2 linked regions of the Astyanax mexicanus genome follow. The protein of the gene in region 1 interacts with the protein of each later gene in a pairwise test. Links are inferred from orthologs where the notes say so. Each region holds a gene or a part of one and is shown on either strand. Other genes may lie near its edges.

The links.
Region 2: the proteins of ctnnd1 (region 1) and zbtb33 interact in binary tests that used the Homo sapiens proteins (3 or more experiments, as listed by UniProt). The link is inferred for Astyanax mexicanus from reciprocal best matches to the Homo sapiens genes CTNND1 and ZBTB33.

Annotation. Positions count from the first base shown.
Region 1 is NC_064414.1:44,251,420-44,258,252, reverse strand, and holds the start of ctnnd1 (catenin delta-1), read right to left. Parts: upstream 3,008-6,833; 5' UTR 2,647-3,007; intron 297-2,646; exon of another isoform or gene 272-296; intron 1-271. UniProt on the Homo sapiens protein: Key regulator of cell-cell adhesion that associates with and regulates the cell adhesion properties of both C-, E- and N-cadherins, being critical for their surface stability.
Region 2 is NC_064417.1:48,682,884-48,689,901, reverse strand, and holds the start of zbtb33 (transcriptional regulator Kaiso), read right to left. Parts: upstream 3,011-7,018; 5' UTR 2,880-3,010; intron 820-2,879; 5' UTR 818-819; coding exon 1-817. Other genes in the region: NF-kappa-B-activating protein, read left to right, coding at 4,512-4,831, 6,988-7,018. UniProt on the Homo sapiens protein: Transcriptional regulator with bimodal DNA-binding specificity.

The sequences.
Region 1 (6,833 bases):
ATAGAAATCCTCAAGATTTAGTGGTGTAATGTCAGGCAGACAACTGACAAAAATTCAGGCCTGTTAAGAGGTTAAAATCTTCAGGGGCTCTGTAAGAAAGAATACACCATTTAATCCTAAAGTTTTGGAACAGATCTACCTTTTGTTTGGGAGCTGAAGGTGAAATTGGTTAGCCATTCAGCCATTAGCCTTTACCTGAGGCGCTAACGCGCCAGCCGATGACGCAGCCCTTTTTAAACGAAACTCCAAATTGAAAAAGCAACCGGTTTACCTGTAGGAGTTCCCTCAGGCTAAAACGGTGGTTTGTCCGATATCTTTGTGCTTTATTAGCTGTTTAAAAGCCATGTATTTTTACTGTACACGGTTTTTGTGAATCCACACAGTCTGTGGTGACTGCCGGGCAGAGACGTGTATTTTAAAACTACTCAACCCCCTTCCGTGTTTGACGGACACACCCTTGTAACAGTAAACCCGGTCATTACACCGTTTCAGAAAAAAAGAAATGGAGGAAACTACAGACTACGTCTTTCAAAAAGAGCACTCCATCTTATTCACAACATTTCTTCAGAACTAGCGTTTTTAAACTTAATTCAGAACAACTGAGGCGTGTGAAGGTGTTGTACAGTAGTGTTGGTTAGCTAGAAAAACATGGCGTGTACTAACATGCCCTTCCCTCTCTCAGCCACAGGTCAAGGTAGACACACCCGCAGGCCACTCAGAGGGGGGGAATCAAACATTTTTCCTTTTAAGTCGTGAAAACTGCATACACACACTCTCTCACACACAACCCATCTCCAGTGACTCATGCTAAATATATCAGCCAAGTCAGACGAACCGTAAAATCAGTGAGCTTGTAGCTAGTCACTGACCACTCACTCCACACGCTGACTGGCTGTTTTACACTGTATTGTGTGTAAATGCAAGAAAAGACGGTCTACAAAGAAAAAAAAACACACACACACACACACACACACTGAACCACGCCTGTCCCTTCCCCCACAAACACACACACACACCCATTCACCAGCACCTACTCAACAGGTTCTCACAAACTTCACACTCTCCCAACACTGTCCGTGCAAATTACACACAAAGTAATCTACATCACAATCACAGTTTTCACCTCATCACCAAAAAACAATGCAACTTTACTGATAATAAACAATAAACCAAGGCGTGTTTACTCCTCACTGAATCCCAAAAGAATCTAAAAGTAAAAAAAAAAAAAAAAAAAAAATCACAGGTAACATCTCCAACCAAGACAAGATCACATCTGCAACCCTTAACCTAGCAAACTACCTTGCTGAATAAGGACCTACAGGTAACTTATTCAGCACCAAAAAGGAGCTATATTTTGAAAGAAACAAACCAAATATTTTTTAACAGGTGCTCCCGAGTTGCAGTGATTTGAGACTTTTACTTGCAGATTCTGCAAGTAAAAAATCTGATATCATTACAGGTTAAAAAATATAGGCATCATATAAAGCTAGAAATTGTAGTAGCACTACTCCGCATTACAGATATCTCGTTTTCACTAGTACTAAAACTAGGTTAGAACTATATTACTGGGCTAGGTTACATCACTTGTATAATTTTATTAGGCTAAAACTACTTGTCATGGGTAACTACTACACTGCTGAGGATTCCCCTCATACAGTTACACGCCGGGTGATCAAGTGTTCATTTACAAGCCATACATAAAATGTCCCAGTATCAAAGCTGTGTGTTTAACATAGCTATTAGTAAGCTTTTGCTGGAAATGCAGAGTATGACTACTAATTTTTAGAGTATAGATACGCTAGAAGGAAATGTAGGCATTCATTATCTTGAAACACAATAATAGGTAAGTTCAATAAAAAGAGCACATTTAATCCTAAATAAACAGATAACTTATAACAGCCAAGCTAAATATTTAATACAAATTTAGGCAAAACACTAAAATAAAAAATAAACAGCTCGGTTTCTGGTTAGCAAGCTAAATAACTCCCTGTTTTCAGTAAATACAAGTTAACTACGTTCACGGCCACAATATTAACTACACGAATTATTGAAGAAAAACTTAATTAGTAAAATAAACTATCCAAATATGTTGTAAATAAAGGTTAGTTAAATGTAAGTCAATAAGTTAGCCTTAAGCTAGCTAGCTATTAACCGAGCTATAATAAGTTATCCCATAGGTTAGCTAGTTAACACTAACCAACAGTATGAGTCGAATGTATTTGTCTCGACAGGTCTAATAGCTACGCAAGTTTATAGCTAACGTGTAAAATCCACAATAATTCACTTTAAAATAAGTAACTACATTATCAACAAATCATATCGCTAGCTGTTAGCTTTAACTTTCAGCTTCATCTTCACACCTAGCTAGCGGCAAATGTGAGTCGTGGCTGTCCGTGAGACGCTATTGCTAGCGGTAGCTCGGCTAGATAACAAACCTGCTAGCGCTATGCTAACACCACTAGCATGCTAACCTGAGTGCTAAAGCGTTAGCACGCTAGCTAACTAGCTTAGCATAGCCAACTTCCAAGTTTTCCTAACTAACAAAAGCGAGCAGGGCTTTTGTGTAAACACGCGCGATTTGAGAAAAACACAACCGTTTCTATTAACATAACGACTGGAGAAAAATAAGCAGTTTCGAAAGTCTACCTTTGTGTTTTTTGTGCAAGTCCGATGGTGTGGTTGCGGTCTCGGCCTATCGAAACAGGCTCCAGATACTGTGATTTTTTTCCAAGCGCTGGGAAGTCACCGTAATCCCAAACTGGTCTAAATTTGGGCGTTTCAGCCCGTGCGCACTGCCACCAACGCGGATCTTCTCTGTTCGCCTTTCACTTTACGTTAACTCTATCGAACCCATTCAAACAGATGTAAAGAAGGTGGGAAATCCGTAGGCCGGAGTGGATTTATAAAAATCTGGCAGTCCTTTCATAAAAAAGCCCACCTAGCTATCTACCCGTCCTCCTCCTCCTCCTCGCCTTGTTCACTCCTCTTTCCTCGTTCCCCAGTTTCGCCCCTGACCCTCCTGCCCCTCCCCTGCGCAGCCGGAGCCGCGCGCATTACAGAGCAGGGCGGGGCGGGGCTGGGCGGGGAGTTCAGCGCCCGCTGGAGAACCGCACTCACTGTTCCTGCTCCTTCCGGGATTTAAAACATGTTATAAACCTTACAAACACCCGCGTTTTATTCGTTTAAACGATATTTTTGTGTTTTTCGCGTCTGATAAACACATAAGGCGGGGCGGGAAACAGTTCGTCACACCCCCAGTGTGGTTTTCATCACGTGGACAGCGGTTTTGGACACAAATCCCATGAAAAGCATAGGCGCTTCAGACCTGAACAAACAGTGCGAGAGCGCCACCTCACGATCAATAACAGGAGGCGCAGACTGTCAGTGTTTATTTCCACGTTAATTTTTAACCTCCCTCTGGCCATTAAAAGTATGCACACTGTGCTTTTAACAACTATATGTATACTGCATTATATTAAAAAATGAACATTAAATGCCAGGTATAACAACCAAACTTACTAAGGCATGGGAACGAGATAACTCATTCCCACAGTTTAGTGATCTAATTTCCACAACAAGTCGTGGCCATGCATTATTTTATTTATTTTTACATGATACCATCTTAGAGGCCTTGATACAGTTAAATTACCTCTGTTCTAATGGTACAAAAACCAGGTTTAAGCACTTCAACTTTATGGTTAAATGGTGGGGCCAATCTACTATTAGTGACATAAGTAGATGTATTTATATTAAATTACCTATATCAGTGAATTCCAACATCTTTTTTTCAGTTAGTTTCTGCATGTGGACTGAATTGTCCACTGTCCACAACAAAAATAGTTTAGGTGTGCTGATCGGGTAAAGACAGGAATCATTTTAATGCATAAACTCATATTTATACATTTAACATTGCTATCTTTCAAATACCTTGCCAGATGTTCTCAATTCTAGAATATATTAAATAAAAGGGAAAAAAACACTTAATATAAAAAATATATAAAAAAATGTATGTATTTATAATTTATGTATTTTTTTATTTAATTGTTTATTTTTGGTTTTATGAAGCTCCTTCTTCCTTTTTTCATTCTTCTTCTTCTTGTGAGTAGTAGTAGTAGTAGTAGTATTTGTCAATCATGCTTACTGTGTATTTATGCATTATTGTTTGCACATTTTTGTAAAAGAAAAAAACATGCTGTTTAAAAGCATGTTGTAAACAAGCCAGCCTCCCTGTGTGTGTGTGTGTCTGTGCATTGCATGAGATTGTATCTGTCTGAGTACTGAAATAACTCTGTGTGATCTCAGAGCAAACTTCATGTGACTGTCAGAAGCTGTGTGTGTGAGTGCGTGTGTGTGACCCCTGCCAGGAAACGTAGTTCCTCTTTTACTCAACTATTACCTAGTTTTTTTTTTCAACATCAAAGCCGCTCTTAGTTATTCAGTTTACTGCATTACCACTGATATGTTGCAATGAGGATCCATTATTAGGAATAAATCTTATTGTGTGAATAATTAATACTTCCCAAAGACCTCCGGACTGCATATATGGGAAGCTACTGAGCTGTAGTGCTGACTACAGCCTACTGAGCACAGCATGAAGAAACTTTAAACTGGTAAAGAACTTTTATATTAAATTGTTTTACATAAAGATTCTTTAGACACTTTAAAGTTTTATTTTTGCATACATACACCTTTATCACAAGCAGGGTTTATTAAGGGACCATAAAAGATTATTCTATGTCATTGCTCAAAAAAACACTCTTTTTGAAGAGTGTAGTTATAGGCAGCAGTTCAAAAAATCCAAAAAATAATTTTTTTTTCTCACGAAAAACAGATGCACAGTGATGCAGAGTAAAACCAGAAGCATATACATTTCAACAGCTAATTGCATAAAAAACAGCATTGGACAGGTTTAACAGATTTGGTCAATATGTTTTTGTACATTAAAAGTGCAGAAAATCACTGCTTTTTGTTTAATATGGTTTTGTGATGCACAACTTTATAATGACTGATTATTTTTTTCTTCCATTTTCTTCTTATTTTTCTGAAAGACATTTCCTAGAGATATTGACGCTGTCCCAACTCCAGATTGTTAAGTCTGAGGGACTGCAAAGACCATCTTGAGTACTTACATTACCTTCTGGTTTGAGAGACCGTAGAGTGGATAGTGAGGACAGCTGAGAAGATCATTGGTGTCTCATCGGCATCTACAGCACAAGCTGCATTCGCAAAGCCACCAGCATTTTGGATGACCACACCCATTCCTCACACAGACTCTTTTCACTGCTGCCATCTGGCAGAAGATACCGGAGCACCTGAGCCATCACTGCCAGACCCTACAACAGCTTCATACCCCTTGTAATGGAAAAATGTGTTGGGTTATTTACTGTATTTTATTCTGTTGTTCAATGTTTTTTTATTTCTTTACTTGTTTATGTGTGCTGTACTTGTTCTTGGGTAAAAAGAAAAAAAAAACAATAAATAGATATTTACAAAGAAAGTCCATTTATCTCAGCAATGAGTGTTTTTACCGGAAAAAAGCACCACATATGATTTAAACAGATGTAAATAAACATACATACAGTAAAATGTAACAAGAAATTCTAATTTTTAGCTAAGTATGGTATGTCCTGTGAGCCAAGCTGAAGAACAAAGTGTAGTTCCAGATTTCTCCTGGATGTTCCTCAGTTAGCAAGTGTATATGTTCAGTTCCGTCAGCAGCTCACCTAATTTACCAAACCTGTGGTTGATATGATGAGAACCAGAAATAACTATTAAACTCAAATGAGGAGAGATTAGGAAATGTTTTAAGGACAACAGGGCTTTAAAAGCTCTGCTTTTTGTAAAATTGCTGTTTGTATTTATTGTAATGCTTTAGTGAGATATTGAACACTTACTTCACAGATAAGCTTTCCTTTACTGATATTCCCAAACTTTTGCACAATACTGTATATATTGTTATAAGTTAAAATGTGGGATATTTAAATCTGATTGACTTATTGCAATGTAACATTTATTTTACTTCTTTATTGATAGCTTTATTTATTTTTATTTTAGTGCTTATAACACTCATGCTTATTTACTATTTGGTGTGCTACCAGCAAATATTTTTGGTTTGTGTTACAGAAGTGAGGGGATGGACGTAAGTGCAGAATTTAATTAATTTTATTAAATTAATAAAAACTAAAACAAATTAACAAACAAACAAAATAAACCAAAGTTACACTGAATACATAACTACAAAACACTAAACTTGAAAACAGGAATCTAAGAAACAGCATGAAACAAACCTGAACACGGACAGCAAACAAACCAACAAAAGACTAGACAAAGAAGGCTTGAAACAAAGGGGCTTATATACATGAGGAGGGAACAAGAAACTGGAAACACCTGAGGATCAATCAAGAGGGGGCGGGGTTACAAATAACTAATGACAGGGTGGGGCTAGGGCGGAGACAGGACCAAAACACAACAGAAGCACATGGCTGGGAAACATGACAGGTAAACAGAGGGGCAGGAGCACAAGAGACCAAATGAGGGAGAAACACAAGGCAGACATGGGCTAAGCTGTGACATAACTCCCCCTCAACGACACCACTACCAGAGGCGCAGAGAGAGGGAACAGAGAACAAGACGACAGAACTAGGACGAAGGAACTCATGACAAAACAGGAGACTGGACTATGAATGGTAACAAAGACTGGACAGGGGGCTGAGACTGGACAGGGGACAAGGACTGGACAGGGGGCTGAGACTGGACAGGGGACAAGGACTGGACAAAAGACTGGACAGGGGGCTGAGACTGGACAGGGGACAAGGACTGGACAAAAGACTGGA
Region 2 (7,018 bases), on another chromosome or scaffold:
AAGTGGGAACACTGCTGCTGGACTCTGGAGACATCATGGGCGGGCTGGCGAGAGGTGTTGGCTCTCGCTTGGGTTGAAGGTGATTTTGAACTGTACCAACCTCTGCTACACCCTTAGAGGAAAGCTCCTTGGATTTCTTAGATTGGTCCACGTTCACCCATTCTTCGCTGGAGACTTTTTGTTTTTTCGCCTCAGGTTCTTCTTCAGCATCCGTACTGTGAGGTGGCTTGGTCTTCTGAGCTTTCGGGGCTTCCACCTGCGAGACAAACAGGACATCGTCGCTGTCCGTGTCATCTTTCCCAGCGCTGCTGCCCGTCATTCCAAACTCCTCAGCAGACAACGAGAATGATTCAGTGATGATGGGCATGTTCTCTGTCCCAGACTCATTCTTCTCAGTGGAGCCAATATTGCCACTCTCGCCTTCTTTTGACAAGCCAGGTAAACCCCTGACCTGTGATAGCGGTGTTGCAAGATTGGCAATGAACTTGACGCCCAAGATCTGGCCAGCACTGATCAGATCATCCAGTTTGTCAGATCGAATTCTGACTAGTTTTGAGCTGTATATGTAATTCAGGATTATTTCAAATATGTCTGACTTGATGAAATTCAGCTCAATGACTTGTCCCGCAACGGAAAAAAGCTGTCGAAAGTAAGTGCTGGATGCGGATAACATTGTCTTGTGTGCCCTAAACTTGCGGTCCTGAACGATGATGGTCACATCACAAAATAATCCGTTGTGTCGCTGCTCACTGATGGACTCCAGCAATGACATGGGAAACTGGGTGTCTGTAACAGATATTAGCTTTAATTTCGCCATCCCTGTGAACAGAAAAGAATAGACAGCGGCTTTTATTTAGTATATCTAAGTCCTTAACATGCGTATCTTTAATAAACGGTTTTGAAGTTATATAACTAGCACAAAAGCCAAAAACAGTCTAGCTATTAAGCTTATGACAGCATGCAACAGTAAATAACTATGAAGTAAAGCACAAAAATAACTATATTTGGAATATTTAGTTGTCATGGCTAAGTCGACTGACACTTTTATTTAGATGGCCAATGATATGGCTAGCAGGTTAGCTGAGCTAGCTACTCTAAAAACAAAACAACAAAAAGCGTTTGATTCTTAAAGCAACAGTCTGTGAGTTTTTAATGAAAATGTGTAATTGCATCAAGTAAGCTAAAAGTACTTTTAAAACATGCAGTGTGGTGCAGCAAAAGCTGTTACAGCCAGATCCCAGGACCTACAAGACACCTTGATTTTTTACATTAATACGTGTGGTTTTGCAGGAATGGTAGCAGTCTCTTAAGGACTGCTGCTTTAAAAATACTTTCGTACTAAAGGTAGGCTTTTACTTTGTGTTTCTCTACTTTAACTTAGTTAAGTAACTAGTTACATGGTCATCTAACTTTATTACCTATCTGAAATAAGAAGAGCTGATTTAGTAAGATGTTGGAAGCTAACACTAGGGCTGCAACGATTAGTCGATATAAATCGACCATGTTGGTTATTTAAATTTGTCGACTACAAAGTTTATTGTCGACTAATCGTTACTTTGGAACAGTACCGTATATGCCGAGGACAGAAGCGCAATAAGAGACGGGGCTCATAATCCAAGAAATATTTATTGGATTAGTCGACTACCAAAATAATTATTAGTTGCAGCCCTAACTAACACTATGGCTGTCTTAGCTAGTTAGCTTAGCTAACCTAGCTTACCTAATAAACCGGCGTAATATGCCTAATTGGTATTCATCTTAAACATTAGCTAATGTATCAGTGAAACGGACCGAGGTTAGCTAACTAGCTAGGTTAAATCTTTAGTTTGTAAAAGCGCTTTGACAAGTAACTATCCATCTTTCTACCTACCAGACACCTTGTTTTTTTTTTTTTTTTTTTATAATGTGGTTTTGCAGGAATAGTAGCAATATCTTAAGAACTGTTGCTTTAAAATACTTTTGTACTAAGGGGGGAAATACTACTTTGTGTTTCTCCACTATTACTTAGTTAAGTAACTAGTAAAATTAACAAATGTGGTTTTGCAGGAATGGTAGCAGTATCTTAAGGACTGCTGCTTTAAAAATACGTTTGCACTAAAAGGGGACTTTTACTTTGTGTTTCTCTACTTTTACTTAGTTAAGTAACTAGTTACATGGTTATCTAACTTAGTTACCTATCTAAAAAAAGAAGAACTGATGAGATTCAGTGAGATGTTGCAAGCTAACGCTATGGCTGTGTTTTAGCTAACCTAGCTTAGCTAAGCTAATAAACCTGCGTGATACGCCTTATTGGTATTCATCTCAAGCATGCTAACTAGCTAGCTATAGCATTAGCTAATGTATTAGTAAAAGGTTAAATCTTCAGTTTGTAAACTTTAAATGGGCTTTGATGAGTAATTGACTATCTAGCTGGACTTTAAAACCATACGCTAAGTTAGATAGTTAGAAAAAAAACATTAGAAACGTGTAACGTTAGCCGGCTAGCAGGTTAGGAAAGCTAACGCTAATCTGAAAACAAAACAACAAAAGCGGGATAAATAATGAGTCGCTCCGCATTAAGACCCAGCTCGCTGGCTGATTTTCATTCAGAAAGCAGTAAAACAACAATCTAACCCTTTTCTGCCGGTCAATTTCAGATATGTTGCACATATTTCTATAATCCGAGTAAATAATGGAAATAAAAGCAGACGGATCTGCTAGATGCTAAGATGTGGCCACTTTATCCTTCCTGCTCAGGCGGCAGGTCGAGGCCTGGCCCGCAGCTGGCTGAGAGTGAACTTACTGCTACCCGGACTAGCACGCTTTTAAAGCCAAGAAATATGTTTATATTAAATTTAAACACTTTTATATGAAATCGCGCAGCGTTCACGATAGCATACCTGCACTGCGGAGCTTCTGAGTCCAGTCTTCGGTTTCAGAAGAAAGAAAATAGTGGTTTTGTTGCGGTAGACAACAAAAAAGAGCCTTGTGTGAGCTGGCGCAGGGCTGCGACTTACCATTCAACCAACAGGAGTCGCAAAAGCATCCGATGGGTGGAGGGAATATTAATTCAAGGATTTGTCATATATATATTATACATTATGTATATTAAGGAACACATAAGGAATCATGTAGTGCACATAAAAGTGTTAAACAAACCAAAATACTCTTATCTGGGTAGCTGTTAACTTGCAGTTTCTGATGCTGGTAACTCTGATGAACTTATCCTACGCAATAACTCTTACTCTGTCTTTCCTGGGGCGGTCCTGATGAGAGCCAGTTTCATCATAACGTTTTTGATTGTCTTTGTGACTGCACTTAAAGATGCTTTTAAAGTTTTTGAAAGTATGACAAGATGTGCAAAGCTGTCAACTAAAAGCAAGAGGTGCCTAGTTTGAAAAATCTAAAATTTAAAACATATTCTGGGTTGTTTAACACTTTTTGTTTACTAAATAATTCCATGTTTTTTTTTTTTTTTTTTTGTAGTTTGCTTGTCTTTCGTATTAATCTACAATGCAGAAAAATAATCGAAGGTGGTTTCCTAATGTATCAAACATATTCTGGTTTATTTAACATTTTTGTTTACAAAATAATTATGCACGTTTTCCTGTCTAGCTGTATTATCTTCAATATTAAATTTAAAGAAAAAATATGACAATACTAATATTTAAAAAGTTCATTAAAACCTCTAAAATATTATCAAAAGGAAGACAGATGGTTATTAGAAAAAAATCTAAACATTGATTTTTGGGGGGGCAAGAGTGGCACACGGTCACCCAAAAGCAGTGTGAAAGACTAGTGAAGAGCATGCGAAGTGAACAAGAGCATGTTGTGAATTTGATTTCTGAACTTTTCCTGAGTGAAAACCTTAGTATTGTTATTTCTAAATATTTTAAATTGCATATTTTTTGTTAGTTTGGTCAGTTCTGATTGTGTGCAAATACATGCTATAATGACCATATTTTTATACTTAAACATATACCTGATATGTAAAAATATAAATAAGAGAAATTGAACATTTTGAAGTGCTCTCTTATTGTTTGATAGAGCTGTGTATAATAATATATAATACATTATAATTTTTAATCTTGATAATGTTGTGTAGCTGCTCCAGTGCTGTAGGTGGCGACAGTAAGCACAGTGTGTGAATCTACATCCAGCCTGAACAGAAGGCAGAAGGAGCAGACCACAGCAGGCCTAAACGCGTAGTAAACGAAAGCTGAACTGTTGCTTTATTCTTTTGACGAATTAAATACTTTATTTGAGTTTCAACGTATTGGATATATTATATGACGGTTGAGTATGTTAACTAGATAAGTCGGGGGCAGTGAACTAGCTCGGTTAGCTAGGTTAGCTGGCTAAACATTTGAGTTTAGTTTTGTTGTTGTTTGAGTAATAGTGTCCAACTCAGTTATGTAGCGTTAAGCCTTTAAAGTTAGTGATTATTTAGCTCTGTGGTTTTTAGAGCAGAATAAAATCGCAGCTAAAAGCGGCTTTAAACTGTATTAAAGCTCTAGATAGCTAAAGTAAAGATGCCGGAGCTGGAAGACAGCCCCAAAAGGCGGCGGCGCAGTCGTTCTCTCAGCCCGGCCAGCGACGCGAGTCCAGCGGCCAAGAGCTCCAGACACGACGGGCCCGAGGAGCGGCCAGCCCGGTGGACGGAGAGCAAAGAGAGGAGCAGGAACCGCTTCAGGATGGCGAACTCCCGCAGCAGGTCCAGATCCAGGTCTAGATCCAGGTCCAGGGAGCGGGAGAAGATGTCCTGGGATCGGGGATACGGAGGGTCTCGGTCGGATTACTATGATAAGAGAGATGATGCCCAACGCCAGAGACAGGAGGCTTTTATCGCCAGGTAAACAAACTACTTAAAAATACTTAAAGTTGTGATCCGGTGTAAAATGGACTTGGGTTGTAGTGAAACTAGGGCTGGCCCGAATAGCGTTTTTTGAGCTCCGGATATTCGGCACTGATTCGAAGCGAATATTCAAATATTCGTTTTTAAAAAAAGAGGTAAAAAAAATAAATAAATAAAGCAAATCACGGCCCCTTTAATCCACTGAAAAATGTTCAATTTGCTCTGACCGACGAGACATATTCACCCCGGATTTTTGGTGTTTTTATCCCCCATATTTTTTCTGTGTTTTTAGCTCAGATTTCTTTGTGTTTTCATCCCGGAATTTCTGCTGCCCCACACGCGGCTTATCCGCTGCGTAAGCAGGCTAGGAGGCTGCTGCTGCACGGTTTCTCCGCTGCGCAAGCCAGCCCAGTAAATTGCTGTTTGTGTTTTCACACTTAGGCTATTTGCTTAAAAAAACAAACAAAAAAAACGTTTGTTCAGGAAGTATTTTATATTCTTAAACATTGGTAATTATATTAGAGGACAGTCATTGTAAACTGTACTTGGTCTATTTCGGTTAAAGGATTGTGCAGGGCATATTACTGATTTTGTATTTTTGCACTTGGGCTATAAGCTCAATATTAAATATTTCGTTTGTTTAGAAATTATTTTATATTTTAAACCATGTTAAATTATATTAGATAAGAGGAAATTCGTTCAGACATCATTTTTGTAGGCCAGGCTTTTGTAACCGATTTAGCCCCTACTGTTGCCACATTACCCCTTACGTTTTATTATATAAATCAGTTTCGAAGAGCCTGCATTTTTTTTATCATGTATAATAGAGGTCTGCGCGAGACTGATTTTTAAACCAACTCTTCCACGCTCCCGCGTTTCTGTCTCGTTACCGCTCCGCAAAAAAATTGCTTCTTTTAATCCCGCGCCCGCCCGCCACATAGTGCGGTCCCGTTCCTTACCCCAGTCCAAACACCATCGGTGTGTGCGTGTGTGTGTCGGTCCATCCTGCGCGTTGAGAGTTTTCTTTAGGTTTTTTTTTTTTTTTACAATTATTACAGTTTTCTTAACTATTTATTAATTTGCTCCCGCATCGTCTGGATTAAACTCCCGCTCCAGCCAATAACAGTTCAGTTCTGTCCCGCGCGCAAGATATTCTGACGGGACCCGCGAAAACAGAAGTGGTTAGAGTGAGGTGGAACTCTGGAAAGGAGAAAAAAAACGAATATCCGAATACCAAAATTAAAAACCGAATACCTACTCAACGAACGAATATCCGAATACCCGAATATTCGGGTCCAGCCCTAAGTGAAACATAATAATAAATACGAACTTTTGTCGAATAACCCACCTCTATAATCCCCCAGCATTCCCAAATACAGCGCTTTTAGCCAATACTCCCACAATGCTAGTGAAATGGGCATAGAGTTGCCCATGAAATTAAAGCACTATTTTACACCAAGCTCAAAATAGCTCCACACTTTAATGGCTTTTAAAAGGAAGCACTGAGATCTTTAAAATGCACAAGTAGTTTATTAAAAAATAAATACTCTTTATACGCACAGTACCATTAGGTAATTATCTAGGTGCTGCCATCTTTAAAGGAGAACTCCAGTGTAAAATTGACTTTTGGTGTAGTCAGACATGATACAGAGTACTTATCTTTGTTGAATCGCCCACTTCCCTGCAGCTTTCTGAAAATCCAGTCATTTTGTGCCAGTAATAACTTTAAAAGTGCACATGAAACTTATTATAAAACACTGTTTACAACCTGTAGTGAAACCTAATCTTCGGCCTCCTACACGTTTAAAGTAAAGTCAGGATCAGTACAGTGATGGTGGAGCCATTTATTTGCATTAACACTGCTATGCCCCTATCGCTAGCATTGTAAGCCTGTTGGGAGCATCAGATTAAAGTGCTGTATTTCAAAATGCTGGAGATAAACAGAGGTTGGCTGTTTGACAAAAGTTTGTTCTCGTTATCATGTTTCACTACAACCAAAGTGTATTTCACATGGACTTCTTCTTTAACATACTCATTCTATAACAGTGTGGGGTTTCAACAGTGTTGAGGGGACATGCCAAAGCCCTAAAGCAGTAAAAGTGACTTTCGGGTCACTGCCTTCAGGATTAACCATGTATTTTTCTCTTTTTAAGGCGTTTGCAAGAAAGGGAGAGGATTGGTGAA